2 linked regions of the Caenorhabditis elegans genome follow. The protein of the gene in region 1 purifies or fractionates together with the protein of each later gene. This does not show direct contact. Each region holds a gene or a part of one and is shown on either strand. Other genes may lie near its edges. The genes, in order: W02H5.8 and H27M09.5.

Region 1 (18,025 bases):
AATTCAATTTTTCGGTCAAATTTTTGTTAGATTTTTGATGAGAAATGCCGATTTGCCGGTAATTTTCAAATTCGGCAATTTGCCGATTTGGCGGTAATTTTCAATTCCGCCAATTTGCAGACTTGCCGGAAATTTCAAATTCGTCAATTTGCCGGTTTCCCGGAAATTTTCAATTCCGGCAATTTGCCGGTTTGCCGCAAGTTCTCAATTCCGGCAATTTTCCGATTTGCCGGAAATTGTCAATTCCAGCAATTTGCCGGTTTCCCGGAAATTCTCAATTCCGGCAATTTGCCGATTTGCCGGAATTCTCAATTCCGGCAATTTGGATAGGTTCGGGCCGGGATTTTACTTGAAAAAAAAAGAAAAAAATTCGATTTTTTTCGAAAAAATTGAAAAAATCAGATTTTTCAAAAATTTTCAAATTTTTTGACATTTTTCTTATTTTTTAAGAAGGAATTTATATGTTTTATTATATTTTTGTTTCTGACAATTTGCCGGAAATTTGCAATTTCGGCAATTTGCCGGTTTCCCGGAAATTCTCAATTCCGGCAATTTGCCGATTTGCCGGAATTCTCAATTCCGGCAATTTGGATAGGTTCGGGCCGGGATTTTACTTGAAAAAAGGAAAAAATTCGATTTTTTTTCGAAAAAATTGAAAAAAAAAATGATAAAATTCAATTTTTCATCAAATTTTGTTATATTTTGATGAGAAATGCCGGTTTGCCGGAAATGTTCAATTCCGGTAATTTGCCGATAATTGAAAATTGAAAAATGGTCAGAAAATTAATTAAATTTTAAATGTTTCTAAAAATTCTAAAATTATCAACTTTGTAAAAAAAACCGATATTTCGTTTAAAAAACTCAGATTTTTCAAAAATTTTCAAATTTTTTGTCATTTTCCTTATTTTTTTAAAGAAGGAATTTATATGTTTTATTATATTTTTGTTTCTGACAATTTGCCGATTTGCCGGAAATTCTCAATTCCGGCAATTTGGCGATTTGCCGGAAATTCTAAATTCCGGCAATTCGGCGATTTGCCGGAAATTCTCAATTCCGTCAATTTGCCGATTTGCCGGAAATTCTCATTTCCGGCAATTTGGCGATTCGCCGGAAATTCTCAATTCCGGCAACTCGTCGGTTTGCCCGAAATTCTCAATTCCGGCAATTTGGCGATTTGCCGGAAATTCTCAATTCCGGCAATTTGCCGACTTGCCAGAAGTTCTCAATTCCGGCGATTTGCCGATTTGCCGATTTACCGGAATACATAAACAAAATTTGACTAAAATATTGAACTTTATGACAATTTAATTTTTTTTAATCCTAAAAAATATTTTTTTTAATTAAAAATTTTTCGATTTCAGAAACATTTTTTAACGGATTTTCAATTTTCCGGTCAAAAAAAAGTTTAGAAAATCAACAAAAAATTAAATATTTTTTGAATTTTTGACAAAAATAGGGAAAATGAACCTTTTTGATTCTTGAAAAATAGAAAAATGATCAGAAAATTAATAAAATTTTCAATGTTTCGATATATAATTTTTTTTTTGAAATATCGAAAATTTTATTAATTCTCTGACCATTTTTCTATTTTTCAAAAATCAAAAACGTTCTTTTCCCTATTTTTTTCAAAAATTCGATATTTCGAAAAATATTTAATTTTATGTTGATTTTCTAAACTTTTTTTTTTCACCGGAAAATTGAAAATCCGTTAAAAAATTTTTTTTATGAAATCGAAAAATTTTTAGGATTAAAAAAAATTAAATTATCATAAAGTTCACTTTTTAAGTCAAATTTTGTTTACGTATTCCGGTAAATCGGCAAAGCGGCAAATTGCCGGAATTGAAATTTCTGGCAAATCAGGAAAATTGCCGGAATTGAAATTTCTGGCAAATCAGGAAAATTGCCGGAATTGAGAATTTCCGGCAAATCGGCAAATTGCCGGAGTTGAATTTTCCGGCAAATCGGCAAAGTGCCACAAACAAAAATATAAGAAAACATATATATTTCTTCTTAGAAAAAAAAAAGAAAGATGACAAAAAATTTGAAATTTTTTGAAAAATCTGATCTTTTTAAACGAAATATCGGAATATTTCTTGAAAGTTGATAATTTTAGAATTTTTAGAAAAATTATGTATGTTTTTCGCAAACCTAACAAAATTTCAAAAATATAATTTAATTAATTTTCTGACCATTTTTCGATTTTCCCGAATTTTCAACAAAAAAAAATCGATTTTTCGAAAAATCACTTTCAAAATAAATTTTTAATTGATTTTCTGAACGTTTTTTTCGAAAAAAAAAATCGGGAAAACGAAAATTTCCGATTTTTGAAACAAAGAAAAATTAAAAATGGTTTTAAAAAAAATCAATAAAATTAAAAAATTTCAAAAATTTTAAAAAATCGTTATTTTTTCCAGTATCCGCCTACGCTATGCCAGCCCGATCAGCGTCGTCGAATTTCTCCCCGAAGTGTCGAATAACGTCCAACGCCTTCTGATCTCCTCGTTCATGGGTCCCGCTCAAATTTGGCGCCTAAAATTCTCGAACGACAAGCTGACATGGGAACAGGAGTGCACATTCGAACGATCCCAATACTACGATTCGATCATTTGCGCTTGCGTTTATCGATTTTATCACGGCGCACCGCCCGTCGTGCTTTTCGGCACGTATTCCGGACGAATTTTGCAGTACGAGCTGCCGCCGCCGACGAAATTCGTTCGGAAATCGATGAAAGATGTCCCAAAGTGCGGGAAACCGATTAATTTATTGATTAATCATGGCATTTATTTTATTCGAGTAAGAAACGGAAAAATCCGAAAAAAAATTGCCTCAAATTCAGAAAAACCACAAAAAAATTGCGAAAGAATGAAAAATCCACATTTTTTTTGCTAAAATCCCTTCATATAGGTCCGCCGACCAATCAGCGACTCGCTCCGCCCATTTTTGAACCAATAAGGTGCTGATTGGCCGAAAAGTGGGCGGAGCGAGGCGCTGACTGGTCGCCAACCTCATTTGAAGGGATTTTAGCCAAAAAAAGGTGGATTATTCATTCTTTCGCGTTTTTTTTTCAAATTTTGACTAACATCCCTCCAAAATGAGGTCGGCGACCAATCAGCGACTCGCTCTGCCCATTTTTCTACCAATCAGCACCTGGTTGGTTGAAAAATGGGCGGAGCGAATCGCTGATTGGTCGCAGTTCAAGTTTTAAAGGGAATTTGGCCAAAATTTGAAAAAAAATCGCGTTTTTCCTTTGATTCCCCGAAAACCCAAAGAGAAAAGTCTCAAATTCAGAAAACCCCAAAAAAATCGCGAAAAAATGAAAAATCCACCTTTTTTTGGCTAAATTTCCTTCAAATGAGGTCGGCGACCAATCAGCGACTCGCCCCGCCCACTTTTCGACCAATCAGCGACTTCGAGCTCTGATTGGTTAAAAAATGGACGGAGCGAATCGCTGATTGGTCGCAGCTTCGAAGCATTCAATTTTTTCGATTTTTTTGGATTTTTTGAATTAGAGACTATTTTGAAGCAATTTTCATTAAAAATTACTGCCAGAACAAAAAAAAACTTGGTTTTTCTGAAAATGGCAGTTATTTCAACTGAAAAATTTGAGAAAATGCTCAAAAATGGCCTAAAAGTTGCCAATTGCCGGTTTTTTGCCACTTTCAGACCAATTTTTAGCACTTTCCCAAGTGTTTCAAATGAAATTAATGTAATTTTCTTGGCGAAATTGAAATTTCCGGCAAATCGGCAATTTGCCGGTATTGAAATGTCCGGCAAATCGGCAAATTGCCAGAATTGAAATTTCCGCAAATTGATGGAATTGAAAATCCGGCAAATCGGCAAATTGCCTGAATTTATGATTTCCGGCAAACTGGCGAAAATGAAAATTTCCGCCAAATCGGCAAACCTGCGAATTGCCGGAATTGAAATTTCCGGAAAACTGCAATTTGTCAGAATTGAAATATCGGAAAATCGACAAATTGCCGGAATTGAAAATTTCCGGCAACTCGGCAATCCGGCAAACTGACGGAATTTAAAATATTTGGCAATTTGCCCATTTGCCGGAAATGAAAATTTCCGGGAAATCGGCAAACTGCCGAAAATCAACTTTTCCGGCAAATCGGCAAATTGCCAGAATTGAAATTTCCGGCAACTGGGCAAAATGCCGGGTTTGAAATTTCCGGCAAATTACCGGAATTGAAAATTGCCCAAAATCAAAATTTCCGCGAAATCGGCAAACCGGAAATTTGCCGAAAATCAAAATATACGGCAATTTGCCCATTTGCCGTAAATGAAAATTTCTGGGAAATCGGCAATCCGGCAAATTACCTGTATTGAAAATTTCCGGCAAATTACCAATTTGCCGAATTTGCCGAAAAAAAAACAACATTTTTCTTCCAGCAAACGGGTTTCAACGAGATCGCCTCCATCACACCATTCGGCCTGTACATTCTTCGCGAAAACTTTCACGCCTCCAAACGCCTGGGCAAATTCGGACAATTTTGGCTCAACAGGCTCCAAAACCGGCTTCTCGTCAAAAATCCGGGCTCAATCGACGATTTCAGTGCCGCCGAAATTCGCCGTCTTTCGATAGACTCGGCTCAAGAACAAATGCGGCCACGCATTGGCTCTACCGTATCACAGCTCACATTCCGGTACTCGGACGATGATACGCTTCTGCTGGAGAAGGGAGGAGAAAAGCGACGGCAGACACTTGGAGCACGAGATTTTCAGGTCTCACCACGATTCTACTCGAGGAAAATTGGCAAAAAAATTCGATTTTTTTTAAAATTTTTTCGAGAAAAACTTGCCGGAATTGAAAATTTTCGGCAAATCGGCAAATTGGCGAAAATGAAAATTTCCGGAAAACCGGCAAATTGCCAAAATTTCTTACCAATTTCTAATCGAGGAAAACTGAGAAAAAACTTCTTTTTTTCAGAGAACAACGACAAATTTTAATATTTTCAAATATCGATTTTATTTTTTAATTTTTGTTAATTTTTGTGAAAATCGGAAAATCGAAAAATTTTAGGCTTTTTTTCCGAAAAATCGATTTTTTTTTTCATTTTTCCGAAAATCGAATAAGAAAACTTTTTTGGTCTTCGGCCGCTCGAAAAATCAAAAAAAAAAAGTTTTTTTTAATTAAAAACTTTATAAAACATATAAATTCCAAAAAAAAAAAATTCAAAAAAAAAGTTTTTTATTTCTTAAAAAAATAAAAACGAAAAATTTTGCATTTTTCCGAAAATCTGAAAACAAAATTCAAATTTCTCCTAAAAACAAAAATTGGAAAAAAAAACCTGCATTTTAAGCTATTACCGAAGAATTGATTTTTTTTTTTGAAATTTTTTTATAAGATTTTCCGGAAAAACGAAAAATCGGAAAAACAAAAACGAAGAAGTATACAAAAAATAATCGAAAAAAAATGTTTAAAAAATTCTATTATCTCTTACATGAGAAATACGCAGCATTTTAAGCTGTTTTTCGAATTTTTTCAGAACTTCGGTAGAAAAAAATTTTTTTGATTTTCTCGGAAACCGAAAAATTAAAAAAAAAACCAAAAAAATGTACAGAAAATTAACAAAAAAATTTTTTTTTAAAATCAATTTTGTTCAAAAAAATGTCCCATTTTTACGAAAAACGACAATTTTTGATCTTTCGGAACATCGAAAAATCGAATTTTAGTGAAATTTCGGCAAACCCGAAAATTTGAAATTTTCCGAATTTCCAAAAATCGGAAAATTTGGCCATTTTTCCTTAATAACCTGAATAACAAAAAAATTCCAATTTTCCAGCGCGGAGCCACTCAATCAATGTCGGGCTCTTCAAATGGATCATCAACTCGTTTTCGGCCACTCGACGTCAACGTCTCAGATCTCTACTACCAAGACGGACCATCATCAGCGGATCCTTCTACTCCAAATCGATCTGCTCAATCTCCGCGCCCCAATGCTCCGCTGCTTCACGATACTCACCCACCGCAGAGCCCGTTGGCTTCAGGCGGCGGCGGCGGCGGCGAGAATCGCCCTCAGCCTGTCTTCTTTCGTGCCATTAACAAGAAGCTGAGCTCTCCGACGCCCCGAGTTCAAAAATAATCACTTGTTTAATTTCGTAAAAAGTTATAGCGGCTCAAAAAATGGGCTAAAATTTGTTTTTTTTTTAGCTAAAATTTGAAATTTGACCAACTTGTCAGCGGCTGGAAACTAACTTTTTTGAAATCACCATCTAGTTTTGGGTATGTAAGTTAATTAACTTGCGTTTTCAACTTGATTTAGGTACATTTAAGGTCGGCGGATCACCAGGCGTTACCAAATTTTACAAAATCTGAATCGACTTTAAAGGTGGAGATCAGGAAAATGAGTTTTTTACTTTAAAATGCTCATTTTCCTGATCTCCACCGTTAAGGTCGATCCAGATTTTGTAAAATTTGGTTATTTCTGGTAATCCATCGGTCTTTAATGTACCTAAATCGAGTTGAAAACGCAAGTTAACTAACTTATACACCCAAAATTTGACGGTGATTTCAAAAAAGTTAATTTCCAGCCGCTGAAAAATCGGTCAAATTTCAAATTTTAACTAATTTTAGCCCATTTTTTGAGTCGCCATAACTGTTTTTTGAGAAGTTTTCAAAAAGTTTCATTATGAAATTCGGTGTTTTCAGACAATTTTGAGTTTAATAAAGCAATTTTTATTAAAAATCGATTATACCACCTTTAAAATGTGTATCTTCTTATTGTGCATTTGTCTATTTATTTATTTATACGATGATCTTTATTTAAAGTATTTTTTATTTCTCGACACGAAATTTTTAAATTTTTGCTCAAACTATGTATATGGTTTTATTATCCATTTTTCTCTATCTCTCTCTCTCGATCTCTGATCATTTTTCGCTTTTATAAGCCGTCCAGCAAGCTCTAAGCCAGAGTGAGATTGCCGTGGCCCCTGCATCAGGCTTCGTTTGGGCTTCTGACGATGTGTAGCTGGCACGGCCCACGGTTGCCGTTTGGCTTGCAGTCGCTTTCGCCGCTTTTTCGGAAGCCTGCAAATTATTAATTTTCAAAATAGGCCTAAAACTCAAAAATTCCACAGAAAAAAATCGCGAAAAAAAAGGAAAATCCAACTTTAAAAAATGTAATTTTTCAATTTTGGCTGATAAAATCGCTTCAAAAAATCCAAAAATAGTTTCGAATTCAAAAAAAAAAAAGGACTTTTTCTCATTTTTGGGTGAATTTTCTCCAAACGAGAACTGCCACCAATCAGCGCATCGCTCCGCCCACTTTTCAGCCAATCAGAGATGTGATTGGTTGAAAAGGGGGCGGAGCGAATCGCTGATTGGTGGTCGTACTCAGCCAAAATTGCGTTTTTGTGGCTTTTTTCTGAATTCGACACTATTTTGGATTTTTTGAAGCGAAATTTTCATTGACGTTACATCCTAATTAGGCTAAAATTCAAAATTATCGCAAAATACAAATTTCTGGTGAATTCCCCCCAAAACCAGAACTGCGACCAATCAGCGATTTGCTCCGCCCACTTTTGAACCAATCAGAGCTCTGATTGGCCCAAAAGTGGGCGGAGCGCATCGCTGATTGGTCGTACGCTTCATTTTGGTAGGTAGGTTCTCAGCCCAAGTTGAAAAATCAAACTTTTAAAAACGAGATTTTTAAAGATTTTCGGCTAACTTAAATTCCCTGTTTGAATTCCCTCCAAAATGCTCAACTACGACCAATCAGTGCGTTTCGCTCCGCCTCCTTTTCAACCAATCAGCACAATGTGAACGCTGATTGGTTCAAAAGTGGGCGGAGAGATGCGCTGATTGGTCGTAATTCGCATTCATGAGGGCACTCTTCCAAAATTGAATTCCCTTCAAAATGCTTAACTACAACCAATCAGCACATTGCTCCGTCTTCTTTTCAACCAATCAGGCACTATGGGCGGAGCTCGACCAGTCGCTGATTGGTCGCGAGTTTCATGTTGCAGAAAGGGCTGGATTTGTTATTCTTTCGCGTTTTTTTTGTGGTTTCCCCGAATTTCAAACATTTTCCCAACCCACCTTAACCGCCGCCTCGAAGATCGCATCCAACGATTCCTCATTCCCACTGAATCCCTTTCTCAACTCCTCGACCATCGCATCCAATCCATCAACCATCGTCCGATCTCCGACTCTCGCGCCTCCGTACTTTTGAACCGCCCGATTCGCCTTGTCCAACGCCTCCAGAATCGACGTTCGATCGATCTTTTCTCCTCTTTGCGATCTTTGAGCGAAACTCTGCGCCGCCGAGCTGAACATCAACGCGTACAGCGCTCCACTGGTTCCTCCGACGGTTTGCTCAAAAATGATGGAAAGCTGCTTGAGAAGTGTCTCCGGATGAGTGTAGTTGAGGCCTGATGTCTGCTTGCGAATCGCTTCAGCTGCTCCGGCAAACGTGCTCCCACAGTCTCCGTCACCGGCGTACGCGTCGAGTTGATTCAGATGTTTCTCGGATTCCAGCATCGCATCCACAACTCCTCCGACGCATGCTTCCACGAGCTGGGCATTCACAGTTACTCCAGACGCTGGAATTTCTGAGATTAGGTCGCCTTGGGACGACGAATCCGAAATTTCCTGATGATCTACACATTTTTGTACTGAAAGTGCTGGAATCCATCCCGGCGCCGCCGCTGGAGCATCCAAGTACTGTAGCATAGAGTCATCGGCTCTCAGAATGGTGACACTGACGCCATGACCGTCTAAAGATGTCATGTAGATACCGCTGAAGAATCGAGTGATTCCAATTTTGTGATCTTCTGAAAAAGTTGGATTTTTTTTACAAAGATCGGGAGCAGCGTGGGTGTCGTCGAAAAAAAACAATTTTCGATTTTCCCGAAATTCGGAAGTTTTGGGTAGGCGGCAAACGATTTTTTTTCCAGCAAATTGGCAAATTGCCTGAATTGAAAATTCCCGGCAAATTGCCTAACTTGAAAATTCCCTGCAAATTGCCGATTTGCCGGAAATTTCGATTCCGGCATTTTGCCGATTTCCGGAAATTTTTCAATTCCCGCAATTTGCCGGAAATTTCGATTCCGGCATTTTGCCGATTTCCGGAAATTTTTAATTCCGCCAATTTGCCGATTTGTCGGAAATTTATATTCCGGCAATTTTCGAATTTGCCAGAAATTTTCAATTCCGGCAATTTGTCGATTTGCCAGGAATTTTCAATTCCGGCAATTTGTCGATTTGCCGGAAATTTTCAGTTCTGCCAATTTTACCAATTTTGCCGATTAAAATTTGAAATTCTGAAATTTCCAAGAAAAAAAATGTGCAAAACTACAATTTGCCGGAAATTTCAATTCCGGCAATTTTACCAATTTTGCCGATTAAAAATGAAATTCTGAAATTTCCAAAAAAATGTGCAAAACCGCATTATGCCGAAAATTTTCGGCAAAGCGGCAAATTGTCGGTTTGCCGATTTCCGGAAATTTTCTATTCCGACAATTTGCTGATTTGCCGGAAATTTTCGATTCTGCCAATTTGCCGATTTGCCGGAAATTTTTAATTCCGACAATTTTACCAATTTTGCCGATTAAAATTTAAATTCGGAAATTTCTAGAAAAAAATGTGCAAAACCACAATTTGCCTGAAATTTTTAATTCCGGCAATTTTACTCATTTTGCCGATTAAAATCAAAAATTTTGAAATTTCCAGAAAAATGTGCAAAACTACAATTTGCCGATTTGCCGTAAATTTTCAATTCCGGCAATTTTATCATTTTTGCCGAATAAAAAATTTTGAAATTTCCAGAAAAAATTTTTTTTAATTTCCGGCGATGCGGCAAATTGTCGGTTTGCCGATTTCCGGAAATTTTCTATTCCGACAATTTGCTGATTTGCCGGAAATTTTCGATTCTGCCAATTTGCCGATTTGCCGGAAATTTTTAATTCCGACAATTTTACCAATTTTGCCGATTAAAATTTAAATTCGGAAATTTCTAGAAAAAAATGTGCAAAACCACAATTTGCCTGAAATTTTTAATTCCGGCAATTTTACTCATTTTGCCGATTAAAATCAAAAATTTTGAAATTTCCAGAAAAATGTGCAAAACTACAATTTGCCGATTTGCCGTAAATTTTCAATTCCGGCAATTTTATCATTTTTGCCGAATAAAAAATTTTGAAATTTCCAGAAAAAATTTTTTTAAATTTCCGGCGATGCGGCAAATTGCCGGTTTGCCGATTTGCAGTAAATTTTCAATTCCGGCAATTTGCCGATTTGCCGGAAATAATCGTTTGTTAACAAAAAAATTGCGTGATGACGTCACAATTTTCTGGGCGAAAAATTCCCGCATTTTTTGTAGATCACACCGATTTTAAGCTATTCCCTATTCCTCACCAAAATATCTCAAAACCTCTCCATTCACGATGTTCATCTCCAACTGCGAAACACTACCCAAATTGTTGACAAGAACCACAAACTTCTCGCCTTCCCGCATTTCCATCTTCGAGCGTAGTGTGTCCAACAAGCTGTGCACAATTCGATTGGCACTGCCAAATTGAGCACGAAATTTGCCCGGCTCACCGTGAATTCCCAGTCCTACTTCAATCTGATCGTCCGGCAACTCGGTCTCTCGATTTTTGCCCGGCAAGCTTCCCGTATAAAGTGACACGCCGAGTGTACCCATTGAGCTCACAACTTTTTGAGATGTCTCGTAGATCTCATCCAGCGATTTTCCTTCCCAGGCCATGGCTCCAGCAATTTTAATTGTTAAAACTGCACCCGCCAGACCTCTACGTCCAACTTTGCTATTCGGGCTGTCAATTGCCACGTCATCGGCGATCGTGACGACTCGAGCTGTGCCACCTGATGCGTTGAATCGCTCAGCCGCCAAACCAAAGTTCAGACGGTCTCCGGTGTAGTTAATGACGAACAAGATGGCACCGGCTGCAAAAAAATTCGGTTTGATCTACGTAGATCTACAAAAAATGCGGCAGAGTTTTCAACTGATTTTTCTTGGTTAAGAACGTGATGACGTCACATTTTTTGGGCAAAAAATTCCCCCGCGATTTTTGTAGATCAAACCGTACCTTCTCCTCTAGTGGCCTCCAATGCCGCCTGAACGTTCCTCGACGGCGGGGAAGCGAACACGTTTCCGGCAATTGCAGCGGTCAGAAGACCTTTTCCAACATATCCGGCAGCATACGGTTCGTGTCCTGAACCACCTCCAGCTATCAGGGAAACGTGGTGCGAGGGGTTGAGATCGGTGATGTGAACAACTCGTCGGCAGCTCTGAAATGTGCCGGGGCTTGTTATTATCTTGGAATTGGGAGATTTTTGTGCCAAAATTACGGTGACCGGTCTCGACGCGACATCTTCTTGATTAGTGATAAATACAAAAAGGCTATGCGCCTTTAAAGATTACTGTAGTTTTAAACTCGCGTTGCACGTGGTTGCAGAGTGTCTCATTTAGGTTTGATCTACATAATTCTACAAAAAATGCGACAGAGTTCTCAACTGATTTCGAATGGCTAGGAACGTGTTGACGTCACATTTTTTTGAGCCAAAAAAAATTCCCGCATTTTTGTAGATCAAACTGTAGTGAGACAGCCTAGCACCACGTGCAGAAGTACGGTGACCGGTCTCGACACGACAAGTTTTTGATTTGTGATGAATACCCAAATGTGTGCGCCTTTAATGCTTACTGTAGTTTTAAACTTGTGTAGCTGCGAAATTTTTGTCGATTTTTCACGGTTCTTTGATATAAATATATGCAAAAATGAAAAATCAATAAAAAAAATTCCGCTGCTGCAAAAGTTTGAAATTACAGTAATCTTTAAAGGCGCACACCTTTTTGTATTTAACAAAAATCAAAAACTTGTCGTGTCGAGAGAACGGATACCAAAAATTGGCTCTTGAAAAACCGAAAAAAAAGGCAAAATTCCGCAACGAGTTTGCAAGTACAGTACTCTTTCTATCAAAAATCGCAAAGTTTTGCATATGGGTAATATTCAATATCATGAGAACACAGAATCTCTGAGAATGCGTATTGCACAACATATTTGACGCGCAAAACGTCTCGTAGCGGAAACTACAGTAACTCTTTAAAAGACTACTGTAGCGAGCTGTTGTCGATTTACGGGATTTCGATTTTCGAAACTGATTAAAGCCCGTAAATCGACACAAGCGCTAGTCATTTAAAGGGTTACTGTGGTATTCGCTAGGAGAAATTTTGCGCGTCAAATATGTTGTGCAATACGCAGCATTCTCAGAATTCTCTGTTCCCGGTAATACTAACCTTATGAAATTTGACATTCGAATTCGATGAAACCAGTCCAAAAAGCGCATCGTCGACAGCTTCCTCCGCTTTGTTCACAAATTTCTTCGACATTTTTATTAGCCCAACTGAAAATGAATTAGGATGGGAAAATAAGAAATTTTTAAAAAAATATGACAATATGGTCACGGAGAAAACACGACGTGGGGTGATTGTGTTGATAAGATAGGATTTTTTTGTGTTCATTGATCAATTTTTGGCAATTTGACAACAAAAATGACCACTGTTCAAAGTACAGAAACACGGGCTTCTGGCCATCCTCATTGAACTTCTTGCGCGCTCCATTTACAATCGCCCGCCGGACAACGCGTGGGAAAGTGTCGTGTACTCCACACGGACAAATACGTTTAGTTTTACAAGCCGCGACGCGACACGCAACGCGCCGTAAATCTACCCCGAGCCAATATGGCCTAATTCGGCAAACTCTTCCTTTTCAATTAAGAAGAGGGAAGCCAGAAGTGTGTGTGTGCAGACATTGAGAATTTTTGCAGGCATGCCACGCCAGCCGCGGCCAAAATCCAAACGACCTACGGACCAGCGGAGCACGCGTGGTGGTGCAGGTGGTAATGGAAGAGTTTTCAAACGTGGCGCCGCTAGCGGCCGCGGCCACGGCCACAGAAGATCATCGCAATACACGTGGAACAAATTTTTGGCGGATGATGATGCCGCGAATGTTAGTGGTTAACCACACACGTGGTGTCTGGCTGTTCAGTTTGACCTACAAAAAATGCGGGAATTTTTCGCTCCGGCAAAATGCGACGTAACTCCCGCGTTTTCTGTAGATCAACGTAGATCAAACCGAAATGGGACAGTCTGACACCACACGTGGTTAAAGCATCTGAGCGCATTTTCGATATTTCTAGCAGCAGCTTCCGGCTCCGATGTACAGACCGCCACCGAAACCCATCAAAACTATTCGTCTCGGCGATGATGAAGCGACGCCCGGATCATCATCATCACCACCATCCCTACATGCACCATCATCCGTAGATCAGCAGCAGCAGCAGCCGACAACGTCGTCGAATTTTTGTGCTAGTTGGTGTGAGTTTCACACAGACAACGGAGGATCTGCTGAAATAACATTGGCTTTCGCATATTACGGGAACACAAAATTCTGAGAATTTTGCGTATTACACAACACATTTGACGCGCAAAATATCTCGTAGCGAAAACTACAGTAACCCGTTGAATGACTACTGTAGCGCGCTGGTGTCGATTTACGGGATCTCGATTTTTTTCGTATTTTACAATATTTTATCGGTGTATACATTATTTCCGTAAATCGACACCAGCGGCGCTACAGTAGTCAATTAAAGGGTTGCTGTAGTTTTCGGTACGAGATATTTGCCCGCGTCAAATATGTTGTGCAATACGCAGAATTCTCAGAATTTAGTGTTCCTGTAATAGTTTTTGTTGATTTTTCATTTTTCATTTTAATTCGTTTGCAAACGCATATATGTCGTAATTTCACAAAATTTCAACACGCCTTTTTAAAGGCGCATGAATTTATTGAGACGGGTCCCGGCGCGCAAAAAAAAAGTGTAGTATCTCCCTTGCATTTTTCAACGAAAATACTTTGGGATTTTCGTCGTTTTCTTTGCATTTTTCCGTTAAGATTGTTTTAACTCATGTCAGTTTCAAAGTACAAATCAGGTGTGGGCGGCAACCGATTTTTTCCGGCAAATCGGCATGTTGCGGGAATTGAAAATTTTTGGCAAATCGGCAAATTGCCAAAAAGGAAATTTCCGGCAAACCGGCAAACTGCCGCCCACTCGCTTTTTTTGTGTGTGTTTTTTTTTGTACTCTGAAACTGATTTTTAAAACAATTTTCAACAAGAAATTCGCTAAAATATAAGTAATTTCAATGAAAAATGCAAGAAAAACGGCTACCAAAAAAAATTTTGCGCGCCGAGACCCGATATCTGAATAATTCTGTGAAATTACGATATATACAGTGAAGAATATGCGTTTTAAAGCAAAATTAAAATAAAAAATCAATAAAAACTGCGAAATTCGCGAAAAAGCTTGAAAATCAATAAAAACCGCAAAAAAAATCAATTTAATTTATTTAAAGTGGCAAAAAACCAACACCTGACACGGACGAAAAAAGTGGAAGAGGTCGTTTTGGATGAAAGGTACATCTTAAAATGCTCTGAACTATTGTAGAAACCGCCGAAAAAAATAGTTTTAGACCCACGGGCTCCCAGGACGACAGCATTATTGTTCTCGACGATGACATTTTCGAAAAAACGAGAAAAAAGAGCTCAGAGCCGAGGGATCTGAAAAAAAAAGTTTTTGGCAGACAGGAGCCGGGCACGACCGTCGGCAGAATCGGTAAATAAATTTATTTTTAATTCCGACAATTTGCCGGTTTGCCGGAAATTTTCATTTTCGGCAATTTGCCAATTTGCCGGAAATTTTCAATTCCGACAATTTGCCGGTTTGCCGGAAATTTTATTTTTTGGCAAATTGCCAATTTGCCGGAAATTTTCATGTTCGCCAAATTGCCGATTTGCCGGAAATTTTTCAATTTCTGCAATTTTCCGATTTACCGGAAATTTTCATTTTCGGCAATTTGCCAATTTGCCGGAAATTTTCAATTCCGACAATTTGCCGATTTGCCGGAAATTTTCAATTCCGACAATTTGCCAATTTGCCGGAAATTTTCAAATCCGACAACTTGCCGATTTGCCGGAAATTTTAATTTTTGGCAAATTTGCCGATTTGCCGGAAATTTTCATTTTCGGCAATTTGCCGGTTTCTCAATTTGCCGGAAATTTCAATTTTCGGTGATTTCCGATGAGCCGATTTGCCGGAAATTTTAATTTTTGGCAAATTTTCCGATTTGCCGGAAATGTTCATGTTCGCCAAATTGGCAATTTGCCGGAAATTTCAACTCCGGCAATCTGCCGATTTGCCCGAAATTTTCAACTCCGGCAATTTTCCTATTTGCCGGAAATTTTTCAATTTTTGCACTTTGCCGATTTGCCGGTAATTTCAATTCCGGCAATACACACCCACGCGCGCGTTCCCTCAGAAGTCTTCTAGTCGTTTTGACGCAGTTTGTACTTTTTTTTCTTCCAAAATTAAATCTAGAATCTCAGGAGATGTCCAGTCCAGCTTTATTACAGCATTTCTAGGCAAAATTTATAATTGTGGTGATTTTTCGCGTCTCATTTCAGTTTGATCTACAAAATATGCGGGGGAATATTTTTTCCAGAAAATTTGTGGTGACGTCAGCACGCTCTTAACCAAGCGTCTCTTCTCCCGCATTTTTTGTAGATCAAATCGAAATAAGACATTTTGACTGATTTCTGTGTAACAAACTTTTCTCTACAAAGTGACATATTTTACGGCACATAAATCGAAAAACTGACGATCCTGATACATGTTTAAAAGACACTGTAGTGAATCCTTTGTGTAAAATCTTCCGTTTTGAGCCAAATTTCATAATTTTACAAATGTTCGGTTTGTATGATGCTTCTGAACAATATTATAAATTTAAAAAATTAAAAATAATTTCCATAGAAGCCAAAAATAGCCAAAACTGCTGTCCCCGCGAAACGAATTCCCGCGAATTCTGGAGTTCGTGAGGGGTGCCGCGCGAGCGCGCTCTAATAATTATGAACACTCCAGGAGGCCGTGCAGTTTAGAAGATCAAAATTTCTAAATATTTATAACTCATTTAAATCGGAATTTTCCAGAAAACCACGTGTCGAATTCCCAATATTTGCCATTCCAACGCACCGTGTTTACCCACCACTTTTTGTGTGTTTATCTGTTCAATTATAAAAAAAAGAACAAAAAAATCTTTTGCTGATAACAAATCACATCGCCCTTTCTTCCCCAATTTTGTTTACTAGTCAGTTGTTTTTGAGATTTGGCTCTTATTTTTTTTCGAGAATTCTCTCTTGAGACAAAAACCGAAATTGACTGAATCAAAATGCTGAGATTTCCACGTGGAGTCAGAATGTCTCATTTCGCTTTGATCTTCGAAAAATGCGGGAGTTGAGACGTGGACATCAGGGGAGAGCGGCGATCGAAAAAAAAATCGGCGATCGGCGCTCACCTCTGGTGGACATCAGGGGTGTGCGGATAATAGCCGAATTAGCCGAATTAACCGATCGGCTGATTCGGCTAACTCGGCTAATATTAGCCGAATTATCCGTTAGCCGAATTTTGTACCAATTAGTCGAGTTAGCCGTCTGCCGACTTTTTGACAGTTCGGCTAATACGTAGTTATCCGTTAGCCGATTTTGGCCGTTGTTAGCCGAATTCGCCGATCGGCTAATTCGGCTAATTCCACTAAAACATTTTTTTGGAAAACAAAATGTGGTGAATTTGTATGATTTTTTCCTATTTGAACAGTCGTTCATCACTGAATTTGCTCAATAACAATGAAAAAATTAACCCAAAACCTGAATTAACAGAAAGAACGAAAAAAGCTTGACCAGATGAATTTTATCCGAATTAGCCGAAAATTAGCCGATTTGACCGATTGATTTTAGCCGAATTAGCCGTTAGCCGAAAATTTTGAAATTAGCCGTTAGTCGAATTATCCGTTAGCCGGTTTTCAAAAAATCCGCATTAGCCGATTTATCCGTTAGCCGAAAAAATCGGTTATCCGCACACCCCTGATTTCCACGTGGAGTCAGAATGTCTCATTTCGCTTTGATCTTCGAAAAATGCGGGAGTTGAGACGTGGACATCGGGGGAGAGCGGCGATCGAAAAAAAATCGGCGATCGGCGCTCACCCCTGGTGGACATCTCATCTGATTTCGCTCGGTTAACAGCGTGCTTTTCGTAGATCAAACCGCAATAAGACATCCTGACGACACCACGTGGATTTTTAGTAGATTTGAATTTGCAAACGGGGTTATTTTTAAGTTTTTCCACTTTTTGCACGTAAAAAGTTGTTTGCTGAGCACACCACCGCCACACCCTGTTCCGATGATTTTTTGGGGGGTTTTTCCTCGTTCTGCCGCACATCTTGAACCATTGTTGAGTAACAGTTTTACGTATTTTTGCTTGGATTAGCTCGAAATGTGCTCAAATGAACAAATTTTGTAGTGCGAATTCTTCAAATTTCAAAAAAAAAAAAAGTAAAAAGTATAAGCTGCCCAAATTGAAGATTTTAGCTAAATTTAGCATTCGAGATTCTAAGTTTTCCTTACAAAATTCGATCATTTGAGAAAATTTCGAGTCTATGCGAGCAAAAACCCCCCATTTTAATAACACTATTTGCCCATCTGCAACACTGTCTAGCTGAACAGTCCAGTAGAGCGCACTTGCTTATCTCGAAAGTTGGTCGGTCCCCCCCAATCCCCAGTTATCAGTTTTTGTTCTTTTTTTTTTTTTTTTGAAATAAGGCTACACGTTGTAGTTTATTTCTATTTTTTAATTCGATTTTTTTTTTTAATTTTTAAATTAAAATTATTTCAAGATTCCCAAGACGGCATTGTATTTGTTGGCGAATATCCTCGACGTGGCAGGACGATGACACAGCTGGAAACGAATATGGTGAGTTTTTCGGGTCTCGAAGCGACATTTTTTCTCTTTTTTTTTTGAAATGCCAAAAAAATGCAACTTTTTGGAATTTTTATCGATTTTTTCAGCAAATCTTTTCGATAAATGTCATTTACTTGGTACAAATAGTTTAATACACGAGAAAACCGTGCAAAAATGTATAAAATTACTGGAAATTTGACAAAAAAAAACCGGCA
Region 2 (14,420 bases), on another chromosome or scaffold:
GTTCTAATTTAAGAACATATTTTCCCTCTTTTTCGGCCTACTTTGATCTCTAAAAACGTGTAACGGACACATCGCGATTTTAACTAAGTGGCCGTGAAATAAAAAAATCTCGGTCACACAAACATCAAAGAGAAACCATTGGCCGAGTATTTCATTTTTCTAGGCCACGTAGCAAAACCCGCCCGCCCTACGGCCTGATTTGGAAATCATTGAATTCACTACAAATCAAATTTAACCTCCAAATTGTTTTAATTATGTCAATATTATTGATAACCAAATGATGACATAAACAATTTAATTGACAAAAGTTGAGGCCGTTTCAGCCGGTTTTGCCCAATTTCCGCTATCACTAAATTTTTCATGTGTCGATGAAATACATTTTCTTGAATTTAATGACATTTTTCTGCTGAAAACGTCTGAAATGCTATTCAAACTGAGGAAAAGCAAAACAAAATCCCAACAAAAGAGTTTGCGCGTCATTTGAAATGCATTATGTTCAATTGCAGACTTCGTCGTCTACCGTAGTTCACCGGAATTTTGAGCCAATTTCTGTGAATTACTTTGAGGCGAATTTCAATGAAAATAAGAAAAAATCAAGCAGTCTGAACAAGATTTCATCAGAACAGTCGTTTGAAATATCTATTTATGCATAAGGAATTTTTTCGAAATTTCAAGAAAAAATCCTTTTGATTTTTGAAGTTATATTTATTAGTTAATAAACGAAACGGAATAGAAAATGTGCACTTATTTAAGAAAAAATGAGATGACGACTTGCAGATAGGAGCTGAAAACATTTTCGCAAAAAATTGTATGTTACAGTACCCCTCTCGCAGTGGGACCCCACCACGTGCTACTGAGAATACACCTTACTACAGTATTACTAAAAATATATTTGAAGAAATTGATAGACAAGCACACAGGAAATGCCACAGCGAAACAGAAACTAAGCATCATCTCTTCCTCTTTTCCCTAATACTCTTCTTCTCAAACTCTATTTCCTGATTGTGATCACTGAGCAAACCGTAAATGGAATGGCAAAGCCAACAGAAAAAATACGGGAGCAAAAAAGCAGGTGAGAGGAAAGCGAAAAAACGAATGTAAATCGACCGGAAATGAGCGAGTGAGAGAAGAGCAAAAAAGAAAATAAATAAAGAATTGAGCCTAAAGTTTCTGTATGCGGAAAAATGCTCGCCGCGGAGAATCGGAAAACAAATTATTGAAGTTGATTAGCTGAGAGAGCAATGTGATATGAGATCATATTGCCTAGTTTGCTTGTTAAAATTCTTTTCATTTAATATGCAACTAATAGTTGAAGTCGTGAACAGCATGATATTGAACAGAGTTTATGCGGCGAGGACTATAACGACAACCAACACCAACAAATACAATTAAAAATCAACAAGGGCAGGATAAAATATGGGGGAACTGACAGCATTAATAAATGCGAAACACTATCAATTGGTCGGTTTTCTACCAGCCTTCTTCATCTTGAGGGACTTGAGTTGGTACACTGGACCCAAATCCACTAGCTCCGTAATTGCCTCCAGCAGCACCTTGCATCCAGTCTGGAACAATCTGTTGTGCGTCGGCGAGAACACCAACAAGTTCGGACAGAAGACTGCAATCCTCCGAGATGAAGCTTGTAGCTCTTCCAGAGTTTCCAACTCTTCCAGTTCTGAAAACAATGCTTGCATTATTGAAACATTAATAAAATATAACTGACCTTCCGATACGATGGATATAGTCATCAATGTTGTCTGGCATGTCATAGTTGATGACATGATCCACTCCTTTGATATCAAGTCCACGTTCAGCGACCGCAGTAGCAATAAGAACAGGTTTCGATCCATTTCGGAATTGTCTCAAAGCTTCTGAACGCTCTCTCTGCTCACGGGCACCATGGATCTGTACATTTTGAATTAAAAAGCGGTCAAAAATGAAATATACCAACCGTGATAGCTGGAACTTGAGCCGATGACAAAATTGAAGCCAGTGTATCAGCCATTGCTCTTTGAGAAACGAAGACCATGGTTTTCTTTGTGTAAACTTCGGCACCTGAAATATTGAAATTTATTTCATCAAATAAGAAAACGAAAAACTCACTTTTCTCGGTCGTGTAACTGTCGATATCGATTCCCAGAAGCTCTAGAAGTTTGTCCTTCTTCTCGCTTCTTTCGCATCTCTCGAATTCCTGTAGGACGCACTTGTTTGCAGCTCCAATCTTGTCGATTGCAATCATCACGTAGTTTTCTCTGAGAAAAGCGCGAGCTGCTTCCTGTACAGAATCGGGGAAAGTGGCACTGAACATGAGTGTCTGGCGATTTTCTTTCCTCGGCATACTGTCATAATTGACAATAGTTTCGATGTCAGTTCCGAATCCCATAGCATCGATCATACGATCAGCCTCGTCAAGAACAAAGAAGCGGCATTTGTCAAGCTTGATGGTACCCTCTTCACAGAAGTGCTTGATTCTTCCGACAGTTCCGACAATGATCGTGGCTCCCTTTTCGATCTGACCCTTATTATAACCGACAGCCAATCCTCCGTAAACTGGTTTGATCTCCATCATTGTTTGATAAGCAAACTTTCTTCCCTCGTTGTAAATTTGATCAGCGAGTTCGCGAGTTGGAGTCAAGATGATGCAACGGGGATAGCAACCGCCTTCTCCGGCAGTGTTCAGATTATTATCGTCAATGAGACGAGTCATGATAGGCAGAAGGAATGCAGCGGTTTTTCCTGATCCAGTTTGAGCACAAGCCATGATATCATATCCCTGATGAACAAGTGGAAGAGCATATTGCTGAATTGGAGTGGTCTTGGAGTATCCAGCATGAGCAACGTTTTTCTGCATGGTCTCCGTGAGATTAGCTTCCGCGAATGTCTTGCAAGGTTTGATACCGACAGTCTTCTCGGATGAAGTCAGTTTAACTTCGGCATCGAAAAACTTGTTGAACATAAGGCCTTCCGAAATTTTCTGCATGTTGAAAACGTCCTCCATGTTGTCTTCGACTGGCACGTATGTCGCCTTAGGTCCTTCTCCTTCAACACCTTCCCTTGGCTTGGCTGGATTGGGGCACTCATTCGAGCGATGACCTTGCTCGCCACAATTGAAACATCCACGGGGTGGCTCCGGACATTCAGCAGAGCGATGTCCCTCGCCTTTACAGTTGAAACATTTCATTGGACCACGTTCTTCGCCTCCACCAAAACCACCGTCCCCACCGAAACCGTCATTTCCTCCATTGTTTCCAAATCCAGCTCCGCCCCCGAATCCACCAGTGCGACCCTCACGCGGCTTGCGTTCTTCTGTACATTCACGAGAGGTGTGCCCGGGTTGCTGGCAATTGTAGCACACTGAAAATAAAACAAATTACTGCCAATAAAGTTATATCAAAATAAAACCTCTCGGCTCTCTTTCCTTTCTCGGCTCTGGACAGTCACTCGATCGATGTCCTGGCTGTTGGCAATTGAAACAATCTGAAACAAACGTAATTATATAAAGTCAATTTAAAAAACGAACTATTGTTTCTCTCTCCGCCGCCATGTCCTCCTTCCCCAAAACCAGAGTTGCCACCTCCAAAGGATCCTCCTCCACTTCCGAATCCAGTTGCACTACCTCCAAAGCCACCTGATCCTCCAAATGCACTTGATTTTTCACCGCTTCCAAATCCAGATGTGGCAGTACTACCACCGAATCCAGAACTGGCTCCTCCATACGGCGATCCTCCTGTACTGCCTCCACCGAAGCCGGATCCACAAGTATTTCCACCTCCAAATCCAGAACCGCCAGTCTTTCCTCCACCGAATCCAGATCCGCCAGTGTTTCCTCCACCGAATCCAGATCCGCCAGTGTTTCCTCCACCGAATCCAGTACCTCCATTTTTACCACCACCAAACCCAGATCCTCCATTGTTACCACCACCGAAACCGCCTCCACTACCGAATCCAGTTTTGGCTGAAATAAAGTTTTTAATCAAAATAAAACCGGTGGAAAGTTCAAAATAAAACTCACCCTTAGCAGCACTTTCGCTATCACTCCAACCATCAGACATTTTCGCAGAAAATTAAGATTTTTCCAGAAAATTGAGTTGAAAACAGCAAAAAGAATTAGGAACTGTCCCAAAATTTAGTAGATGAGTGTGTCGAGGTTACTGTAGTTGGGGCGCGTGGCGAAACCTAAACGGTGTGAAAGTCTGTGTTCCTTTAAAGAATCGACTCTTTAAGAGGCACCACGGTTTCAAGATCTGATGGGATTCCGGATCTACGTTTTCCGGATCTACCATTTCCGGATCTACGTTTTCCGGATCTACGTTTTCCGGATCTACGTTTTCCGGATCTGGCACCGTGCCAACGCACAAAACGCTTTTCAACGCACGACTTTTTTCGAAATTTTCTTCTAGAAGAAACGCTTAACAACACGCGACGCGTAACATCGGAGCGTCGTTGTCACTTTTTTCTTCGAAAAAATAGCGTTTTAAGAGTTTGCACGGTGCCAGATCCGGAAAACGTAGATCCGGAAAACGTAGATCCGGAAATGGTAGATCCGGAAAACGTAGATCCGGACTCCCATCAGATCTTGAAACCGTGGTGTCTCCTTTAAAAAAAAGAATTTTGAGAATGCATTTAATTCATTTTTCTTTTTCAATGAACTCGATCAATTAATTATTTTCATGTTTTCTCGGAAATCCAGACTTTTTTTAAACATGAAATAAATAGTACAATTCTGACAAATATTTTTATAAATGTAAACAAGAAAACAGTAAATAAATAGATTGAGATACAATGTATGAATAAAATAATCAGAAACCACCATCGTCGCCTCCACCTCTTGCCAATGCTTGCGTCGTTTTGTTTCCGATTCCAGCGAGTTTTGGACAATCTGTGATGCGATGACCCAGACCGGAGCAGTATGCGCATCCCTGAAAACATGTTGAACTTCCCGATTTTCTAAATGTTTTCTAACTACCTTTTCCGCATTTGTGCCAGCTGGAGCAGTTCCCTCCTCGTCACCAGCCAACATTTTGAGAAATTCTGGAAGTTCCTGCCCTGCTTCTGCGAGTAATTGTTTCAAGTCGGAAAGCACTGACATCTCCGATTTTTTGTTGATAAATGTCGTTGCGAGACCTTTCCGTCCGGAACGTCCGGTACGACCAATTCGATGAACTGAAAATAAAAATTCAATTATGAAAAATAAATAAGAAATTCACCATAGTTCTCAATATCTTCAGGCATGTCAAAATTGATAACATGTTCAATTCCTTGGAAATCGAGTCCTTTTGATGCAACATCTGTTGCCACAAGTACATCTTTCTCATTTTTTCGGAATGCCTCAATTCCAGCATGACGGTCACTTTGATCTTTTCCTCCGTGAATTGAAGCAACTTCAACTCCTTTTACAAGCAAGTACTCGTAGATATTGTCAACGTCAACTTTCTTTTCGGCAAAAATCAAAACTCTGAAATATAAAACCGTTGCCATATTTCTAAATTAATTATTTTCTGATAAATAAAATCTTACTTGGGAGAAGTCTTTTGAAGGCATTCAAGTACACGAACCAATTTGTTTTCTGATCGAACAAACTCAAGCTCCTGGAGTACGTTCAATGAAGCAGCACCCGCACGTCCAACATTTACGACCTAAAATATTTATAATTTACAGACAAACTCCTGAAAAATTATTCTTTAAGAATTGAAGAATGACAACTTTTGGGAGTAGGTTAAAAAATTATATTTTTGAAACTTCTCGATTGCATAAATAAAACTTACAATAGGTTTGACCAGTGCTGATTTTGCGAAAAATTGAATCTTTCGTGGCATCGTAGCCGAGAAAAGGAGAGTTTGCCGTTGAGCTTTGAAGAAATAGAAAATTGATTTAATTTCATCTTCAAATCCCATATCAAGCATTCGATCAGCTTCATCTAGAACTAAGTAACGGCAAACCTGTAATAAATTGAAGCAATTTTTGAAATCTTTGAAGTTATGTCTTACTTCTAAATTTATAATTTTCTTGGTAAGCATATCAGATAGTCGTCCTGGTGTCGCAACAACAATATGAATACCACTGAAAATAATGAAAATCATAAAATTCGAAATTCTAATCACTCACTCTCTAACGTCTTTAGCTTGTTCGCCAATTGGGACTCCTCCAATACATAATCCAGCTCTCATTTCTGGAAGTCCAGCTTTTCCAAGAGCATCAAACATTTCAATGATCAGGTCAAAGATTTGACGAGCCAATTCTCTCTGAAAAGTATATTTCAAAATTAAAAACGGAATTATTGACGGATTTTGCTAAAGTTTTTTTAACAACAGAAATTGTTTGAACTCAAGTTTATACGATTTTGAATTTAAAAAGAATACCGATGGAACAATAATCAATCCAAATGGTCCTTCACTACGCATAAATGGAAGTTTCATCTCTTGCTCCAAACAGAACATAACTAACGGTAAAACAAACGTCATTGTTTTTCCAGAACCAGTAGAAGCAATACCAATCATGTCACGACCAGAAAGTCTGAAAATACCGATAAAAGTGAAAGTAATCGAATTTTTAAAGCTAACGCGACGGGAATTCCTTGTATCTGAATAGCTGTCGGTGTCACAATTCCTTTTTGTTTTTGCATGAATTCGAGCAATGATTTTGGAAATTTCATTTCCAAGAAGCTGCCGATTGGCGGTGGAATATGATCACCTTCACAACTGATTCCAAGACGTTTTCGTTGAATTTCATAGTCTTCTTGTGATTGACGACGGATGTGTCCAGGTGGACGCCAACTGAAGTTTTTATGAATTATTAATTCGACGAAGAATTCCTATTCTACAGTGAGGAAAATTGGGGTTGAAAAACTTACGCAGTGACAATTGGTTCTTCATATTTTTCACCTTTTGTAAGTTCAGCAACTGCCAAGAGACCTCCACCACGTGTAACTTTATCAAGTAACTCTTCTTCTTCCATTAATTGCCGTTCTGATTCGTCAATAACTGAAAAATATTATTTATTAATGAAACTTCGTCCTTATTTTCAGAAATATATTTAAAGACATCGAATATTTCTAATTATATTCCCAATTAATGTCCATTAATTTTATAAACTTATTTTAAATAAATAACCTCCTTGTGTCTCCATAATCTCAGCATGTTTCTCCAAAAGTGTTTTTCTCGCTTCTTCACTTTGCTTATCCTCTTCCTTTTTCTTTCGTTTTCTTTCAATTTCTTCTTTTTGATTCATTGTCGGAGCCAGTACTTGCTTCAGTAGGGCTCGACGATGTACCTAAAGTTTAATTTTTAATTCTTAAAATACTAATCTACACAAATACTTTTTCTCGTTTTCTCTGTAATGCAGTCAGAAACATATCATCCACGTCTTGATCATCATCTCCAGAAGATAAATTCATGCCGTCTCTGCGTTCTTTCATTTCTTCCTCTTGAATTTTTCGCCGGCGGTCCTCATATTTTCGTCGCGCCGCTTCCACATCTGTGCTCATTTCGGAATACTAAACGAATTTTTCTGTTCTACTTTTTAAGATACTTAAAAAAATTGAACTTGTGTATATATTTAAGTCGCATTGGATTCTACCGATTTTCCAATAAGATTTAATTGAAATACAAGAGAAATAGGTTTAATAACGGGAAAAACAAAAAATAAAATAACAAAGGTACCCAAAATCAGAAAATTTTTGGGCCAAGATCAACGTTCAAGGGGGTTTAGAAAAGATTTAGACCACAAGACGATAAGTGATATATCTTCCAGCAGTTTCCGATGGCCGAATGATTTTGACAACTTGTCCACGGCGGAGACCAAAATAACGAGCGACCGGATCACATTGTTGGATACGTGGCAACTGAGAATCCTTAAGTTTGCTGAAAATATCATATTTATAATCATGTTTTAATATGAAGACTTACTATCTAGCAAGTAGTTCTGCTTTCTCTTCGGCTGTCATGACGACATGTTCTGGTACCAACTCATGTTCTGTGATGTTTACCATGAGCTCAGCCTCTAAAAAGTGCTCCAACATGTACTTTGGGGCCATGTCGCCAATGGATTGTTTGGCGCTTGGAGTCATTCCGGTTTGTACGACAATGATAGCACGGGAGATATTCTGTTCTTGCATTTGCTGGCAGATAGCTTTAATAGTTTTGATTCCAATTTTGGCGTCCTCTGGGAAGAAAACAAACATTTGATCGGCTGGATCGTCGTTGTGAGCCACGAGAATTGTCAGATCTGAGCGAGCCGGCTTTTTTTCAGAGGGACGATCTCCGTACTGCACTTTGAATGTTTCCAATGGTTGATCTAATTCATCTTGAGCTACGAGATAACCACGATCGTGAACCATCTAAATATGAACATATTATCATGGCAAATACCAAATTTTGTTTACCTGAAGAACTGTTTTACGGATTCTCCACAATCTATAGGTCTCAAGCTCGTCGTCAGCCATTATTACTGTTAGTCTCTGCAATAAACTACTTTTAAAAAGTTTTCCGCCGACATTAAAGGTTGAAAAATAAAGAACAATTCGTCTTAGTCTCATCACAATTTTAAGTGTAACTTTGAACATATAACAACCTCTTTTAATTAATAATAAACATTGAGGTTAACAGGAAAAACATAAACTATGGTATACCAACAATTTAAATTGAATAATCAGAAGGGAGATTGCTGCAATGTCTCATATTCAAATTGGTGGGAAAGAATTGAAGGAAAAAAACATGAAAATCACTAAATTTGACAGGACAATTTTCGTTTTTCGAATAAAATTCCAATGGCTAAACAAAGCTCGTTAGCGTTATACCGGAGCATCGTTCATTGCGTCGAATGCTGCTGATTTTACGAGCAAAAATTTTGCGAACATAAGCGAACTTGAGTTTGTTTCAGAATAAATATTATTTAAATAGCTATACATTTAAAGCATTAAAGTGAAAAAGAATAAAACGCAATGAGATGATCAATACTTTATATTATGTATATTTTTGCTGTTCAAAAAGAAAAAAAAGAGGCAATTTCTTGGTCCAATAAAATCTAAAATTTCTGACATTAAACGATACAAATGATACAAGAGCTGAATAATACATGATAATTTTCTAAAAGTTAAAGAACGAGGTGCTGTTTCCGCCCGCTCCAGAAGTTGCTCCGCCTTCACCGTCACCGTCAAAGTTAAAGTTGAACGATCCATCTCCACCTCCACCAGCTGCGTTACCATTTGATGCAAATCCGAACGGATCGGATTGAGTGTTTCCCGAACCCTTTCCTTCATCCTCTCCGTCATAGTTAAGGAAATCCAGATCTCCAGTAGAACCACCATTGTTCGAACCATCATCTCCTGCTCCAATTCCGTCAAAATTAAAGTCGAAGTCTATAAAAATGGAGTTTTTTTTAATTTCACGTGTTTCATAACTTACTGCCTTCACCGCCACCTTCTCCCGCTGATGTACCCTTGCTATTCCCAAAAAAGTTAAAAGAGAAGTTATTGCTTTTGTTGGAACCGTTTTCGCTCATCACTTCTTCTTCGTCTTCTACATCTAGTTGTGCTCCCACTTGTTGATCTGCGAAATGAATAACTCAATGTTTATTGCCAAGTAAAACACTTACCATCAACAAACTGAACATCATTGTCTGCCTGCTTCTCAACGATCTCTGGTTCTTGTTCCTGGGAGAGTGCAGCCTGCTCCGTGGCTAGAATGTCCTTGAATACAGATGGTTGCTCAATTTCTTCTTGCTCACCGACTTCCATGGGACTTTCCTCGGGTACTTCCTGATCTACTTCCATTACATCCATCGATTGATCGGCATGATTTTCATGATTGCTAAGTTCTTCTTCTTCTTCTTCGGGCTCATCTAGGATTGATTCCGGTTGGGGGCTTGGAACTGCTGAAGTGTCTAACTCTTCTGCATCCCGTTGAACGACGCTGTCTTGACGAGTAGGCTGAATGGTAATTTGTGGTACCACCTCCCTTATTTCAGTGACATTTGGTGGTTCAATATGAACGCTTTCTTCAGCTGAATGTTCGATTACAGGTTCTTCGCCAACTTCCATCGGATGCTGTGTCGGAATTGGCTCTTTGGAGAAGGAAGATTTCGCGGTTTCGCTTATCTGTGGAGTGATCGAAACTTCCGAACTTTTCGAAGTTAACTGTTGTACGGCCTTTTCTGGCTTATTTGTTTTGTCCATCTGTAAATATTATTTCAGTTTGAAAAGGCAATTAGGCTTTATAAAATTTAGTTTTACATACCGACGCGAGAATAAAAGAACGATCAAACTGCATTGTTTCATCCAGACTGAGACTTCCACAAATTCGTCGATTCTCTTCCTCGTCCTTCAATGTTTCCAAACTTCTTTTCGATTTGTCTAACTTCGGCATCAAGGATTGATGGAGTTTATAGTGTTTCGCACACTCAATTACCGTCTTTTCGAACGATTTCTTTGATTCGGCTTTCACTGAAAATTTGATATATTACAAAAAATTAAGTGTATTCGATGCTTCATAACTTACATGTAGCTTTCTTGGTACGGATATCATCGGCAAGACACTTCTTCTGATCTCTGAGCCCCTCCACTACTTCTTCTAGAATTCTTTTCTCCTCTTCCATTGCACGAAGCTTATGTACGTCGGATGAATTTTCTAGATTTTTCAGAATTGAGGCACTTTTCACGATGAGCTCCTCAGTGGCCCTGGTTGTGTCCACAAGCCGCTGTTCGTTGATTTCCTGGACTCGTCGAGCCTCGGTGTTCGTCTCTTGCACGGATTTTCGTAGGTCGTCACATTCGTAATATTTCCTTTAAAAAATTGAATGGTTTACTCGAGTCAAAATAGACATTGTGTTACTTTTAATGTGAACAAACTTACTGCTGAACTGTCAGCTTCTTTTCTTGAACCTGCCGAGATAGCTCAGCAATGTGTAGACGATCTTCCATTACTGTCAGCGATGTTTGATAAGCTGATTTCAGCTTCTCCTGGAGTTTCCCACTTTTTGCCAACTCGGCGCGTCTCTCATCTAATGCATAGATTCCTTTGGCTAAATAATAAAATAGTGGAAAACGATGAACCATCGGGAATCTTACCTTCGGATACCATTTTCGTCAGCAACTTTGCCAACATTTTTCTTCCTTCCGTGTTGATCATGTTTCGCTCCACAAGTTGATTTGATTGGCGAAGAAACTGAAAGAAGAGGATTACAACTGATTGTCTGTAGATTAAAAATACCTCATGGCATCGCAGAACTTTTGGATTTTTCTCATTTGGACGTACTTGTAGCGTCGGAAACGACATTATTTCGCCTTGAAATAAAAAATTTTGATGAAAAATGAGGTTACCGTACCGAACAAAGAAACAGAAAAGTTCAGTTTTCTCCTAAAAGCAACAAACTTTTGAATGGAGATTTTTTTCGTGCCTGCACATCAAAGGTTACTGTACCTGCAATTGCTCGTAAACTTAAATGTAAAATACGCAAATTGCCATCACGTCAAAATCCGCCTCATATACACTAAACACAGTGAGTAGCGGAGACCGCAAAATGTCGGGACACCCTATCGCACTACTCCCTCCACCCGCAGGCTCATAAACTTACCTGGCTGGGGGTTATTTCGCGATCACAAAGGCGGAATCCCCATGGTTAGGCCTACCCATTGCACTTTTGGTGCGGGCTGACCTGTGTGGCAGTCTCGAGTTGAGATTCGCCAACAGCTTAATTTTTGCGTATCGGGGCTGCGTGCGCGCGGCCCTGAAAAGTGGGTCTATATGTAACACCTAGCCGATGTTCTTTTACGATATTTGGGAGATTTGAAAGTTCACTGAAGGATGGAAAAGACGCTAATATAAATTTATCAAAATTAAACGTCTCGAACTGGATGTGTCGTTTGCATAGCCTTTTCATTTGATCAAAACATCTTTATTTCTATTTTGTTCACAAAATGAGTTCATCGCCAGAACAAATGGCCGAGAATGTGAATTACCGTAGGTTTACTCATTGATTCAGCTTTTGAAGCAACTTTTACAGTATGTCTTATGGTGACTGCCACTTTAACTAGTGCAACGATGGTGCTTGGATGTACTACCGGGCATCGTGAGATGTTCCGACGAAAAGGTTCAAAGTCAAAGAAATCAATGAAATCGAAGAAATCTAAAAAATCTAAGAGAGAAAAGAAGGGTGATAATGAAGATGAAAAGGAAAATTATAAGGAAGATGGAAATGATCACAATAATGGATCTGACAGGAAAGAAGGTTCTAAAAAGAAAAAATCAAGACAGAAGAGTATGAAAAGCTCACGGAGCAAACGGAAGAAGAGACACAGTTCTGGAAGTAAACGTGGCAGTTCTAGGGACAAAAGAGATAGCTCTCGGAGCAAGAAAAATAATGTATCGGCTCATAAAATGGAGAAATCTCCAAGTAGACGTGATTTTGGAAGAGGAGGTGATAGAGATAGAGATAGAGATGGAGAATCCAGAAGAAGTAGTTATAGGGATGAAAAGAGAAGACGTGAAAATTCACATAAGTCAGCCAGATCAATGCCTGTAGAAAAAAGCAACAGCTACCGAAATTACAAGAAATACGATGACAAGGTGGAGGATCCACCACATGAGAAACGAAATTCTGATGACGTTCGTTCAGTTTATGTGGATACTGGAAAATCAACATATTCCACTGCTGTAAAGCCATCAAATGATAATCCAAAATCATATTATTCTCTTCCACCAACATCTCCTTCAAAGGAAAAACCCACAAAAAAGATTTCACGAAATTATTTGGCTGATCCATTGTCTCCGGGGGATAAGAAATCAGCAAAAATCTCAACGAAAAAGTTGATTTCTACAATAAAACCACCAAAAACGCTTTCTAAAAAATCAGCAAAATCTACGAGAAATCCATTGAAATCGCCTTCCAAAAGGTCTAATAGTGTGAGACCAGAAAAGAAAAATAAAATCATTTCGAAGAAGGCGTCCAAGAAAAATGTTGAATCGAGAAAATCAAAGAGAAAGTGAACATGTGGTTAGTTTTTCTTTTATTGTATTTTGGAAAAAGAGTTATATTTAATATCGTAAGTAGTCTCGTGAAATCACTTTAAGGACACAGGATATATGATTTTTTAAAGTGGGTCCCACCACGATCTCAGTCTCAGCCAAATTTCACGGATTCACGAAATCACGATTGCTAGAAATGGTTATATCTCGTAATTTTGTGAAAAAGAAGTACCTTCGTCTCTAGGTGTTTGGGGGAATTTTTGATTCATAAAATTTCAGTATTTGTACAGTTTAGTTGACGATGGTGTAGAGCTACTGTCAAATAATCGAATATCAGAAAAATACATTACAAAAAATTTCCAGATTTTTGTAAATTTCTATTTAGTCTAAGTTTTGTTGGTGAACTGCCAAATTAAAAAAGGTGATATTTTCCAGAAATTGAAATCAATTTTGCATGTCTTACTAGTTAATCTCTAAAATGTTTGAATGCAATTATTTCGAACATGGTTAGAATATGAAATTCGTAGAAAAAATTGATCGACTTCCAAAATTATGAGATCATTTTTGTCAACAAATAAAAAAGTTCAAAAGTGTTACTTTTCTAAGATTTTCCCCTCTTAGCACATCTTCTATAATATTTTCAGATTTCTGGATCAATCGTCTCCTGCTGTACAAGTGAACTGATATTCTTCCGATTATTTTAAAAGTTGAAATGAATATTCCAACTATTACATGTTTTGAACTTTGATATGCAACACAGAATTTTTTGAATAAATAATAATTTATTGAAATAACACAGAATCCACGAGAAATTAATAGCCTGGTGGAGTTCTTGGAGTTGGGCAATGGAAGCAATCTCCATTTGGTCCCTTTGATCCAATTGGTCCTTGTCCTCCAGTTTCTCCCTTTCTTCCAGCTCTTCCTTTTCTTCCTTGATCTCCAGTTGGTCCTTGAACTCCTGGATGAACTGATCCTGGAACTCCCTTTGGTCCACGTTCTCCCTTGCGTCCTTGTGGTCCTGGGGCTCCTCCGGCTCCTGGTGGTCCATTGACCTGAAATATTTCCTGTGCTGCAGTTAAAGCTCATCAACACTATAAAACTTACATTAATAACTCTTCCATCATCTCCCTTCTTTCCTGGTGGTCCTTGTGGTCCTGGTTCTCCTTGAGTTCCAGCTGGTCCAGACATACCTGGCTCTCCACGTCTTCCATCAACACCGGAAAGTCCTGGTGATCCACGTGGTCCTTGTGGTCCCTTGGCTCCTGGAGCACCTCCAAGTCCTTGTGCACCTGGTGGGCAGATCATGCATGGTTCAGATTGAAGTCCATCAGATGGTCCAACACCTCCATCCTTTCCATTCTTAGCATCATTTCCAGCTGATCCATCATTTCCGTCCTTTCCATCATCTCCTGGTGGTCCTGGTGGTCCAGCCTTTCCTTGTTGGCATGTACAACATTGTGG

The links.
Region 2: the proteins of W02H5.8 (region 1) and H27M09.5 fractionate together in Caenorhabditis elegans (co-fractionation; one large-scale study listed by BioGRID). This does not show direct contact.

What each region holds. Positions count from the first base shown.
Region 1 is NC_003283.11:2,640,288-2,658,312, forward strand, and holds W02H5.8 (Triokinase/FMN cyclase), read right to left. Parts: upstream 12,371-18,025; 5' UTR 12,357-12,370; coding exon 12,264-12,356; intron 11,258-12,263; coding exon 11,056-11,257; intron 10,913-11,055; coding exon 10,364-10,912; intron 8,782-10,363; coding exon 8,048-8,781; intron 7,037-8,047; coding exon 6,878-7,036; 3' UTR 6,768-6,877; downstream 1-6,767. Other genes in the region: W02H5.2 (SOCS box domain-containing protein), read left to right, coding at 2,415-2,793, 4,399-4,731, 5,793-6,092; angl-1 (Endonuclease/exonuclease/phosphatase domain-containing protein), read left to right, coding at 12,796-12,975, 13,166-13,343, 14,377-14,437, 14,494-14,636, 17,746-17,822.
Region 2 is NC_003279.8:6,844,444-6,858,863, reverse strand, and holds H27M09.5 (uncharacterized protein), read left to right. Parts: upstream 1-11,904; 5' UTR 11,905-11,911; coding exon 11,912-11,954; intron 11,955-11,997; coding exon 11,998-12,980; 3' UTR 12,981-12,987; intron 12,988-13,603; 3' UTR 13,604-13,687; downstream 13,688-14,420. Other genes in the region: ATP-dependent RNA helicase glh-1, read right to left, coding at 1,471-1,675, 1,724-1,905, 1,952-2,055, 2,104-3,354, 3,403-3,477, 3,521-3,955, 4,013-4,052; sacy-1 (RNA helicase), read right to left, coding at 4,800-4,919, 4,967-5,163, 5,208-5,455, 5,518-5,636, 5,766-5,939, 5,988-6,060, 6,106-6,242, 6,360-6,513 and 4 more; rpb-5 (DNA-directed RNA polymerases I, II, and III subunit RPABC1), read right to left, coding at 7,715-7,859, 7,905-8,335, 8,381-8,440; syp-4 (Synaptonemal complex protein 4), read right to left, coding at 9,084-9,355, 9,402-9,545, 9,592-10,171, 10,233-10,438, 10,494-10,777, 10,848-11,016, 11,063-11,159, 11,205-11,270; dpy-14 (Nematode cuticle collagen N-terminal domain-containing protein), read right to left, coding at 13,772-14,011, 14,064-14,420.